Canis lupus familiaris: one gene and its partners. The main gene of each other region encodes a partner of the protein of the gene in region 3 in a complex. Links are inferred from orthologs where the notes say so. Each region holds a gene or a part of one and is shown on either strand. Other genes may lie near its edges.

Region 1 (3,747 bases), on a different chromosome or scaffold from region 3:
CTGAGGGCAGAGCCTGACATGGGGCTTGATCCCAGACCCTGAGATCAGGACCTAAGCCAAAGTTAATAGTTGGATGCTCCCCCAACTGAGCCACCCAGGTGTCCTGAGCACACAACTCTTAATGTACAGGTCCTGAGTTCAAGCCCTATGCCAGGCATAAAGTTTACTTTAAAAAAAAAAAAAAAAAGATAATAAAAAAAATAAAAAGCTGACTACCTATTGGTATGAGAAGAGATAGTGCTAGTCAGAAGTAGAAACAATGGAATAAGTAAAAGGTTACTAAAGTAGTTCAAATGAGGGATGGTAAACCAGGGTGTGGTACTGTAGGTGGAGAGAATATTTAAAAGATACATTGGAAGTAAAATGAATAGGATTTAGAGATATGCTAGATGTGGGGGTAAAGTGAAAAACAGATTGACTCCTAAATGCTTGGTTCATGCAACTGGTGAATGACAGTGGCACTTACTGGGTTGGGAAAGACTGAAAAGTAGCTTGAGGAGTGAAAATTAATAATGTTGTTCATATTAAGTTACTAAATGGATGATCTGAATTAAAGTCTAACCTCTTCCACTAACATTAAATGACCTCCTGAAAATCACTGCCCTCTCTGGATCTTGAGTTTTCTCATCTGGGCAAGGTACTTTACCTGTTTCCTGATCTATAAAATGGGGCTAATGACAGTATCATAGAATTACTATATGATCCAGTAATCCCACTTCTGGGCATATATCGAAAATTCAAAGCAGGATCTTGAAGAGATATTTGCACACTCACGTTTGCTGCAGCATTATTCATGATAACCAAAAGGTGAAAGCAACCCAAATGACAAATAAATAAATTTTTAAAAATGTAAATAAATAAATTATAAATAAACAGATTATACACACAATGAAATGTTATTCAGCTTTAAAAAGGGGGATCCCGTCAGATGCTACAATAAGGATGAACCTTGAGGACATTATGCTAAGCAAAACAAGCCAGTCAGAAAAAGACAAGCACTGTATGATTCCATTCATCTAAGATATCAAAAGTAGCCAAAATCAGAAACAAAGTCAAAAAGTGGTTGCCAAGAGCTGAGGGAGGGGAAAGGAGTAATTAGTGTTTAATGGGTATAGACTTTCAGTTCTGCAAGATGAAAAAGTTCCTAGAGATCAGTTATACAACAATGTGAATATACTTAACACTACTGAACTGTATGTACACTTAATATTATGTGTTGGTGACCATAATTAACATTTAAAGATTTTTTAAAAGTTGTTGTCTTATTGGGTGCCAGAAATTATGCAGGCTGCCTTTGTGTAACAGCCTCTCATCCCCACAGTGCTGATCAGAAAGAGGAAAACAGGTCATCCAAGTTGCCTGGTTTACTTACCCTGCAGCAGGTACTCCATCATATTAATGGTGCCTCCAGTGACAGGCATCATGGTGACTGGCGGTGCCTCCATGGTGTCTGATTGAGCTGAAGACAACAGAACTGGTTTCGGACTCTCCAGTCAAGTAAAGCACAATAAACACCTGGAGAAGTGTTACATCGTTAATACATGAGCGGGGCACAGAAACAATAGATCTGTTTGTGTCACTGGCCTCGATATGAAAAGATTCATTCAACCATTCAAATTTTTTGAGTAACTGCTATAGGCCAGCTTCAGGAACTGATGATACAGAAATATACAAAGGATACTTGGTCATGGAGTTACAGCACAACCTTTCCAGTCTCAGTGTCTAAACGTTTTCTGTGTAATTTTGAGGAAGTCATCAAACCTGGAAGTCAATGTCTTCCTTATAAAATGGGGCCAACGATATTTAACCAACCAAGACTTTGTGGCTCGGACATGTAAAAACATTCAGAACTGAAAGGTTGTCTGTTAAAAGATTGTCTACTCTTCAATTTATAGATGAAGATAATTGAGTCTCGGAGAGGGGCCCAAGGATACACAGCAAGTCGGTGGCGGAGCTTGAATCAGACTGAAATCTAGGCGTTCCGTCTCTCTGAAAACGCCTTTCCAAGAGAGCGAGGGGGGAAGCGTGAAATTCTTTTAAAAGGATGGTTTAGGTCCTCTTAAGGCAGCATCAAAGACACGTGCCCACTTACACTAGAAACACACCTCCGAGCGCGCTCTGGTCTCTTCTCGCAGAGTGGGTAATGTATCCTCTCCAGCACCTCCGAGCAGCATTTAAATAACTAGCCCCCAGCCCTAAAGTTAAAGCCCTCCAGGTAGTGCAACAACTTCTTTTCTTTCCACTTCCGGCAGGAAGCGGACGTCACGCAAATCTTGACACTGGTGCTCCGCGACGTAAGGGTGCCGAGAAGGGATTAAAAAAAAACCAAACCGCGCTCTTTGCAGCCTCGCAAACAGAAGCGCATGCGCGAGACGCAGGGCCGCGGTATGGAAGATGGCGGCCTGCCTTGGAGGCTTCCCGGGGATTTACGGCGGGGGAGGGGAGGCGCTTGACGTCATTTGGCGTCCTCTAGGAAAATATTTTTTCAAGCTCGACGATCTGGAATGATATTGTCTAGGAAATCTCTTGAAACTGACGGGGGCAAAAGAGAGCCCAGGGAAGGGAGCTGCGGTAAACAGACTTACAAAATAGACTTTTTTTGTTGGGTACCTGACGACCAAGAGACACCTTTTATTGCAAAGCATAATGTTCTGAACAATTAGGGAGCTCAGCAATACACTTAATATTTGTTCACTTCACTGTATATATTTTACTTAATTTGAAAATATAGGAAGATAAATTCAATGAATGTTTGTTGCACGCTGCTAATATTTGTCAAGCATATAAGGTGCAAAGTGAGGACTAGAATGAAGTGAAAGAGGTACCCTCGGAGTGAAAAAAATAAAGGGACACCAGAAACTCGGTAGCTAAGATAAATACTATTTCAATGCGGTATTTTACAAGTTTAAGGCAATAAATAATGAACAAAATACCAAAACTTTAAGTTTGATCCTCAAAGTAGCCCTATGAGCCAAGTACAATGATTACGGTAATTTTACTGATGGGGAAACCCAAGCAACGAGTTGTTAAATAACATGCAAAGGAATGGCTGCAATACCAATATAAGCTGTTGACTTCAGAGCCCTCTCACTTAAAAAATTTTTTTTTAATTTATTCATCACACACACACATACACACACACACACACACACACACAGGCAGAGGGAGAAGCAGGCTCCATGCAGAAGCCCAACATGGGACTCGATCCCAGGACTCCAGGATCACGCCCTGGGCCAAAGGCAGGCCCTAAACCGCTGAGCCACCCAGGGATCCCCAGAGCCCTCTCTTAATTACTGTACTGGACTTACAGCTCTAGTTCCCCTGCTGTAATCCACTATCTCCCATTCATTAATTTTTAAAATATTGAACATTTCTTGAAGGTCTAGACTGTTCTCGACATCTTGTTAGGTGTTAACTCCATCTGTATCCTCAAATGAGTTTACAGGCATGTTGTGGGAATCAGAGGGTTAAACTAAGGAGTCTGTACTATGAAGTTTGATTCAATAGGAAAATGAGATATCAACAGCTCATCCCCTTTGGAAGCAAGCAGGATGCTTGGTCCATCTTGGGGGCATCAAGGAAGGATTCCTGGAAAAGGTAATCAATGCCCAGAGTAACTTGAAGGGTCAATAGGTGTTAGATAAAGAAGGGAGAAAAGGGAATTTCAGGTGAAGGGAACAGTATGTTCAAAAGGATACTGAGTTAAATAGAATTAGGGTATAGAATCTGAGGTCAGGGACTGAAATA
Region 2 (3,747 bases), on a different chromosome or scaffold from region 3:
GAAAACACTGCGGTGTCTTCCCATTGACCTTAGAATAAAACCCAAGCCCCTTTCTATGGCTTCCAAGACCCTTTGTGAACTTGCTGCTGCTTCTTTCGCTAACGTCCTCTCTCCTGTACCACGCTTGTCCCTCGCATAGCTCCAACAACGCTGGTCTTCTTTCTGTTCCAGAACATTCCAAGATTGCTCCCGTCCAGCCCTTGCGTTGCTGTCCCAGACCCCTGCACGGCTCACTGTCCACCCACACAAGCCTCAGATCCAAGTCCCCTAACCAAGGCCTTCCCTGACACTTCTGAGTGAGGAACCCCTCCCATTACCTGTTTCCTTCAGTTACTCATTGCGATAGAAAATGGTCTTTTCATCATTTGCCGTGTGCCCCTTCACCAGTGTGAGCTCCTGAGAGCCTGGGTCCTGCCTACCTTGTCCAAGTGCCCACAGAGGAGAGGCTCCATAAATAGTACTGCCCTCCCCGCCCTCTGCGAGACCCGGGCCGGGTTCCCTTCCGAGATCACGCCTCATGGTAGATGTTGACTTTTATCTAGTCTGACCTGTATGGAAATGTGTGTGACTGGGGGTGCCCGTACAGGGCACAGGGCTTAGCATAAACAAAATACCTGCTTGGTTTGAAACACAAAGGCCAACTGGTTAATTAATGGAGGTCTGTTTCTTGCCCCTCGGTTTCCGGCCGCGGTGTGATCCTCCCAGTGGTCACGGTTTGGGTTTGCTCCCTGTCCCCGAAGTCTGGATCGTGAGGGTGGTTGGAACAACAGCCTCCCTATCCATCAGCCCATCAGGCTGGCGGAGCGTCGCGGGCCTGCGGACCTCCAGTGCTGGCTTGCTGCAAGGGGGCTCCCGGGGTCAACGGTGCGGCCACCCGGCCGACGCGCGGCGGAGGGGGCTGGCCCAGTGCCGACCCCGCACCTGCCGCACCTGCCGCACCTGCCGCACCTGCCGCACCTGCCGCACCTGCCGCACCTGCCGCACCTGCGCTCGGGTCAAGGGGGGGGTCCCTGTGGGTTGGAACGGCCGCTGGGCGTTCTCCCGGCTGAGGACTGCCCCCGCGGGAGACCCCACCGAGGGGATGTAGGCGCTCCCGGAGGCGCTCGGGACCCCCGCGGCTACGTCACTGGGCGAGCAGAGAGGCGGGGACAGGACCCCTCCCGCGCTCGGAGCGCCCCAGCTCCGCCCCTCGCCCCTTGCGAGTCTGCGCGAGGCCGGTGGGCGGGGCCCGAGAGGACCGCCCCGCCCCGCATCCCACACTGCCCCGCGACAGGAAGTGGGGCCGCAGCTTCCGGGACCTCCGGGAAGCTGCTCGTCGTGCTGGTGACGTCTCGGCGCTTTTGCTGGCGATGGCCGCGGCCGTCGCTATGGAGACAGGTAGGTAGCGGCCGGAGCCCTGGCAAACACAGCTACAGCCGGCTGGCCTCCTCCTCCAGCTTCCCCCGGGACTCCTGTGTGGCGTGACTTCGGCGGGGCTCCTGTCCGCGGCTACCTCCTCCTCGCTTGCCGCGCAGACGCCGACCACCCCTCAGCCTCAACCCCTCCCGGGCCCCGACCCCGCGGCCTCCCGACCCATCCCAGGTCCTGGCCCTCCCAGCCTCCGGGCTCTGACACCCCCCTCCCCCGGGCCTCCCAAATCCTGCCGCCCCGAACCAGTCCCCCCTCCCCGCCAGGCCCTAGCGGGAGCACACTCGCCCCCTCCTCTTGCTTAGCTTGCAGCCCTCCGCCACTGGTCACCCTGGAGGTCCTGGGGAGTGGCTGCCAGAGGGTGAACATCCTGCCCAGGGGGCGCCCGCTTCCTCGGACTTCTCCTTAAGGAGTTACTGGTCTCATTAATCAGGGCCCTGCTCTCTAGACTTGGGAGGAAACGGCCCTCTCTTCCCACATCCAGCTTAGGACAGTCATCCCTGCCTTATGCCTTCAGAGATACTCTCAGCAATACTCAGAACACTCCACTGCTGTTTTCTTTCTACAAACCAGCACTTTAGATAGTCACCTTTATTTTGTTTTTTATTTATTTTATTTATTTTTTAGTCACCTTTACTTTGGATGATTTTTGCTCACTTCCCTCCTAGATGATGCCGGGAATCGACTTCGGTTTCAGTTGGAGCTGGAATTTGTGCAGTGCCTAGCCAACCCCAATTATCTTAACTGTAAGTCCTTGAGCTCTTACTGACTTGAGTAGCTGTTAGTGATCTCTGGCAGAAGAACTGCAGTTCCTAATGATACCTATTTTTATATGTTCTCAATCCAGTGGAATTAACTGCTACGCTTATACTGGTGTGTGTGAGAACAAATTGGGACTTATGTTCAGCATTTAGTGTGTGTTGGTGGTGGGGAAGTTATATAAGTAGATGCTTTATGTGAGGGGTCACAAATCAGTAGTCCGAGGATTGGTTTGCTCTACAGATTTTTTTGTTTGTTTGTTTATGCCTTTCAGTTCTTGCCCAAAGAGGTTACTTCAAAGACAAAGCTTTTGTTAATTATCTTAAGTACTTGCTTTACTGGAAAGAACCAGAATATGCCAAGTATCTAAAGTAAGTTTAATTTTTATAGTCCTAAATATGTGTATAGTTATTACATTAAAAATACTGATATTTGACAGATTTTCTCATTTCCCATTGGAAAAAAGTATATTTTGAATCTCTCCACTTCTTTCAGTTGCCTCCACCTTAATACAGAGCCACCCCCTCTCCAGCTTGGATTATTGCGGTGTCCACCCCCCTGCTTCTCCCTGCTTGTGCTCTTACCTTCCTTCTGTGTCCTCCCTCCCGCAAGCCAAACCAAGCAAAACAGTTTTCCACAGGGAAGCCAACTTGATCTTTCAAAAATGTAAATTATGACGTGGTATTTTCTTGCTTAAAACCTCCCAGTGGTTTCCCATTGCATGTGAAACAAAATCCTCTCTCTTTTCTCAGGTCTCTCTTTATCTATCTACCACTCACCCCATCTCACTGAATTTCTGACCCTAATGAACCCACAGTCTGTAGATGCAGTGGTATTACCTGAGGCTGAAGATTAAAGAACATCAGGTACTTGGAAGGTTTTCTGGAGGAGGTGACCTTACCTGACTCTTAATATAGGCATTCCTTGGATACTGTTGATGTGGTTCCAGGCCACTGCAATGTGGTGAATATTGCAATAAAGTGACCCAAGTTTTTGGGTTCTCTAGTGCGTATAAGGGTTGTTAACACTATAGCATTAAGTCAAGAAAGAGGTACATACCTTAATTTAAAAATATTGTTAAAAAACACTGTCATCTGAGGTTTTATGGAGTCTGATCACAGATCACCCTAACAAATACAATGATAAAGAAAAGTTTGAAATGTGAGAATTATCAAATAATGACAGACATAAAGTGAGCAAATGTAGTTGGAAAAATGGTACCCATAGACTTGCTTGCTGATGGGTTGCCACACGCCTTTAATTTTTAAACAAAAAGTCCAAAAAACAAACCCAAACCAGTGTGTCTATAGCTGCTGTGCCTCCTCTGTGCCAAGCATCACACTTGTTTCAACCTTGAACCCATCCCTCTTCTTTGTCTTCACTAGGTAGTCAGAAAGCAATAGTTGAACTTCTTGTCTTTCTTTTTTTTTTTTTTTTTTTTTTTCTTGTCTTTCTTTTAAACAAACACGTTTGATAGGAAAATGATTCAGACTTGTACTTTATCCAAGTCACTTTTTATTTTTTGTATTTTTATTTTTTTTCCAAGTCACTTTTTTGATTTGTGTCAACTGATTCACAAAA
Region 3 (3,747 bases):
ATTCAGAACCATAGTATCTTAAACACTACTCTACATTATCAAGGATAAACAAAAAAACATTGCTTCCATCTTAGTGCCACTTACAACCTAACAAAAAAAACACAAAAATAACTACCAAGTTTTAAGGCTCCTACAGAAGGCCAACAGTTCTACCAAAAATAAGTCTAAAAATTCCACACAGGAAAATTATCATAAGCAAAATTAAAAGACAATCCCATTCTTTTGGGAGAAAAATGCCTGCAAGCTAACAGAGCAAATATTGGAAATTTTATTTTGACTTTTCAAAAATTTATTTTCTGACTCCACTCCCACCGGAAGGAGGGCACTAGGACTTCAGGAACTGCCGAATACACAACTCCATCTCCAGCACCTCAACACCTAAAAGATCCTCAATAAAGGCCCACTGATTGAGTTTTTTTTTTTTTTTTAACCTCCGTTTTTTAAAACAGAATAATAGACAAAAGAGGACAAGGAGGAGGGCTCGGGTGGTTCAGTCGGTTAAGCTTCTGCCTTTGGCTCAAGTCATGGATTCAGGTCCTGATCTCAGGGTCCTGGGATTGAGCCCGCATCCGGCTCCCAGCTTAGCAGGGAATCTGCTTCTCCCTTCTCCCTCTGCCTTTCCCCACGCTGGGCTAGCTCCCTCTCTCTCAAGTAAATAAAATCTTAAAAAAAAAAAAAAAAAGACAAGGGAAATGCAAATGCTGAATAAAAGCAGAAAATTATTCAGACTAATATACTTCTAAAAGCAAAGTTTTAAAAAGAATACTTTTCATCTAACGGACTATCGAGATTTCAAATACTCCATCATTCAACAAATATTAGAACACCTTCCATGCGACAGGCGCTGGATGCCAGCAGAGGTCGCACTCTCCCAGGGCAGCTCTTTCTGTCCAAGGGTCTTGCCCTCTCATGCTTCTATAAAGACCACTTTTTTGCACCACAGACGTCTCAAGAACTCTTTCTTGGCTGTTGGTTTCAAACCCTAACATCTGTCCTACGTCACAAGTGCATAAAAATGTGCACCAAGGGTGTTTAATGCAGCGAGGTTTGAAAAGAGTAGGAAAAGCCGGAAATCATCCATGACTTCATCAATATGAGGAGTGGATAAAATATTTCTCTGTAATATAAGGCGGCCCTCGAGTAAAAGGGGTAAAACTGCTTGCGGGGAGTGGGGGGTGGAGGTGGGGGTGATAAACAGTGTTTATATGTGATTACTACCAAAATCAGAGAATTAGCATTGATCTGGTTACTTCAAAAGCGACTGTAAGAGACAGCCCAGGCTCTGCCTCACTCAAGCATTTTTAGTTGGGCGCCCGGTTCCGCGCCTCCCCACGCCACAAGCCACAAGCACTCCTCTATTCAACGTGCAGGTTCCCAGTCCCACGTGACTGGCACGTTTTAAAGCCTCTCGGCGGACGCCTGGGTGGCTCAGGGCGGGATCCGGGGATCCGAGATCGAGTCCCACGTCTGCAAGGAGCCTGCTTCTCCGTCTGCCTGGGTCTCTCATGAATAAATAAATAAAATCTTTAAAAAAAAAAAAAATTAAAAAAAAAAAAAAAGCCTCTCGGTCTTCCTCACACGCCTGTCAGCTTCCTTCGCGAGAGGAAGACTCCGCGTCTCGGAGGGGCCGCCTGCGCCGCGTCGGGGCTAGCGAGTCCACGGCAACGCTCCTCATCCCGGCTCCTTTCCGCGGCCCAGGGCAGGCTCGCCCACGGAAGCAACCTGACGAGTCGCACCGATTCTGCTCATTCCTCCACCGCTTCTCTGGGGCCAACTCTTCCGAGGCGGTGTCTCCACTGAAACCGGCGCCAAGCGTCACGGCCGGTGACCGGACCCCAGACCCCCCTTCCGTGGGGCTCAGCCGACAGGAAGGCATTCCAGGGTCCCGCCCCGCCCCCGAACACCTCCCCCTCGACGTGGCCACCAGGCTTGGGATCGCGGCCTCCTGCACCCCGCACTACCGCGGCCGACCTCAGGCTCCATCCCCGACGAGCGCGGGCAAGGCCCGGGGGCCGAGGCCCGCCACGTCCGCCCGGCTCAGCACACCCGCGGCGCGGGACTGGAACTCAGGGCTCCCCCACGGAGGAAGCCCCGAGCGCGCCGCGCCGACGGCACCTTCCGCCCGGCTCCCCGCGAGCAGCAGCGAGGCCGCATCTCCGAGGGATGTGGGAGAGGAAGGTGACGGAGCGTGTCCGCGCCAGGCTTCCCCCATTCCCAGCCGGCCCTGGGGGAGCCGCGGGGTCCGGAAGGCGAGACGCACGCGGCACGAAGCCGCAAGCCGTCGCCGCCCACTTACCTCAGCCCAGGCTTGACGCTGGAGCCGCCTTCGCCTCCGCAACCGAAAGCCGACTTCCGGCCACCTCCTCCAGGAAGAAGCCCGTGACACTGCCCCTTGATTGGCTGAGAGAACTGTATGTTAGCCGCCGCTCTAGTCCCGCCTCCAACCAAAACCTTGCTACTGCGCCTGCGCGTATCTCCCCGCGCCCTCGGCGGTCGGGTCGCCGGCGGCCTCGGGCGTGGGGGTGTCTGTGCTAGTACTTTCTATCAGTAAAAGCTGCAACTGGTAGCTTCGCTCCTTTGTTATCTTTTTTTTTTTTTTGACACCTGAGATTAACTTATCCGTTTGCCTTACATGAAAATTAGAAAATGCAGATAAGCCGATTTTTAAAAATTAGATCGACTCTAATCCTACTGTCCAAAATAGCATTACATTTATTTTCAATCTGGAAATATTTATGAACGAGATCGGGAATTCATAGCGTTCTCAGTTTCTATTTCTTCACATTCATATTTATTTTCATTTAGGAATTGAAACATAGCTATGTTTCCAGGTAACAAAAAATGTATCAAAGTTTTTGGGAGGTAATTTTCAGAAGAAGTAACAAACTTATAAATTCGTGGAAATCTGACGAGAGCATACTGGACATAAAAGAAAATTGTTATTCTGATAAAAGTTTTCAACTTTGCCTCTAAAATAAGATTACTTGGTTTCATTTTTTAGAAAAGAACGAGATTCCGAGTATATGCAAAAGTAGAGGGGCGCCTAGGTGGCTGAGTGGGTGAAGCCTCTGCCTTCAGCTCAGGTCGTGATCCCAGGGTCCTGGCATCAAGCCCTACTTGGGCTCCCTGCTCAGCAGGGAATCTGCTTCTCCCCCTCCCCTCACACTGCTCTTGCTCTCTCTCTTCCTCTCTCAAATAGATAAGATCTTTAAAAAAAAAAGTGTACTCATTATCCACCTTCAATCTATATCTACCCATTAGATCTAGACATTATTTCGTTTTAATATACACGTCCAAAATAGGACTCTCATTTTCCCCCATAAGGATACAGGTGTTATATCATTTAAAAATAAGTTAGTAGAGGTGCCTGGGTGGCTCAGTGGTTCCGTGTCTGCCTTTGGTTCAAGTTGTGATCCCAGGGTCCTGGGATCAAGTCCTGCGACAGGCTCCAGATATGGAGCCCGCTTGTCTCTCTGCCTACATCTCCGCCTGTCTCTCTGTCTTTCATGAATAAATAAAATCTTTTTTAAAAAAAATAAAATAAAATAGTAATTATTTAAATTCATCAAAATCAAGGGCACTTAGGTGGCTCAATTGTTTAAGCTTCTGATTCTCAATTTCAGCTCAGTTCTTGATCTTGGGGTCATGAGACAGCCCCATGTCAGGCTGTGTGCTCAGCCTGCAGCCTGCTTAAGATTCTCTCTCTCCTGCCCTCTGCTCCACACACCCCCCCCCCTTACCTCTCTT

What was found.
Region 1: MED7 (region 3) and MED18 share a complex: the UniProt entries of both Homo sapiens proteins name them as parts of the mediator complex. The link is inferred for Canis lupus familiaris from reciprocal best matches to the Homo sapiens genes MED7 and MED18.
Region 2: the proteins of MED7 (region 3) and MED31 are in contact, whole or in part, in a cryo-EM structure (PDB 7EMF), measured with the Homo sapiens proteins. The link is inferred for Canis lupus familiaris from reciprocal best matches to the Homo sapiens genes MED7 and MED31. Residues at the interface, in NP_001094286.1 of Homo sapiens: Met15, Gln16, Tyr17, Ile18, Lys19, Tyr21, Thr22, Asn25, Ile26, Lys33, Pro34, Pro35, Pro36, Pro37, Ile38, Lys39, Asp40, Tyr42, Met43, Met44, Phe45, Gly46, Gln48, Gln50, Asp52; in NP_057144.1 of Homo sapiens: Asn14, Arg15, Leu16, Arg17, Phe18, Gln19, Leu20, Glu21, Leu22, Glu23, Phe24, Gln26, Tyr33, Phe36, Leu37, Tyr42, Asp45, Ala47, Phe48, Asn50, Tyr51, Tyr54, Tyr57, Glu62, Tyr63, Lys65, Tyr66, Lys68, Tyr69.

The regions. Positions count from the first base shown.
Region 1 is NC_049223.1:71,511,999-71,515,745, forward strand, and holds the start of MED18 (mediator of RNA polymerase II transcription subunit 18), read right to left. Parts: upstream 2,272-3,747; 5' UTR 2,093-2,271; intron 1,516-2,092; 5' UTR 1,446-1,515; coding exon 1,373-1,445; intron 1-1,372. UniProt on the Homo sapiens protein: Component of the Mediator complex, a coactivator involved in the regulated transcription of nearly all RNA polymerase II-dependent genes.
Region 2 is NC_049226.1:30,892,137-30,895,883, forward strand, and holds the start of MED31 (mediator of RNA polymerase II transcription subunit 31), read left to right. Parts: upstream 1-1,221; 5' UTR 1,222-1,349; coding exon 1,350-1,377; intron 1,378-2,075; coding exon 2,076-2,153; intron 2,154-2,440; coding exon 2,441-2,537; intron 2,538-3,747. UniProt on the Homo sapiens protein: Component of the Mediator complex, a coactivator involved in the regulated transcription of nearly all RNA polymerase II-dependent genes.
Region 3 is NC_049225.1:53,884,141-53,887,887, reverse strand, and holds the start of MED7 (mediator of RNA polymerase II transcription subunit 7), read right to left. Parts: upstream 2,364-3,747; 5' UTR 2,297-2,363; intron 1-2,296. UniProt on the Homo sapiens protein: Component of the Mediator complex, a coactivator involved in the regulated transcription of nearly all RNA polymerase II-dependent genes.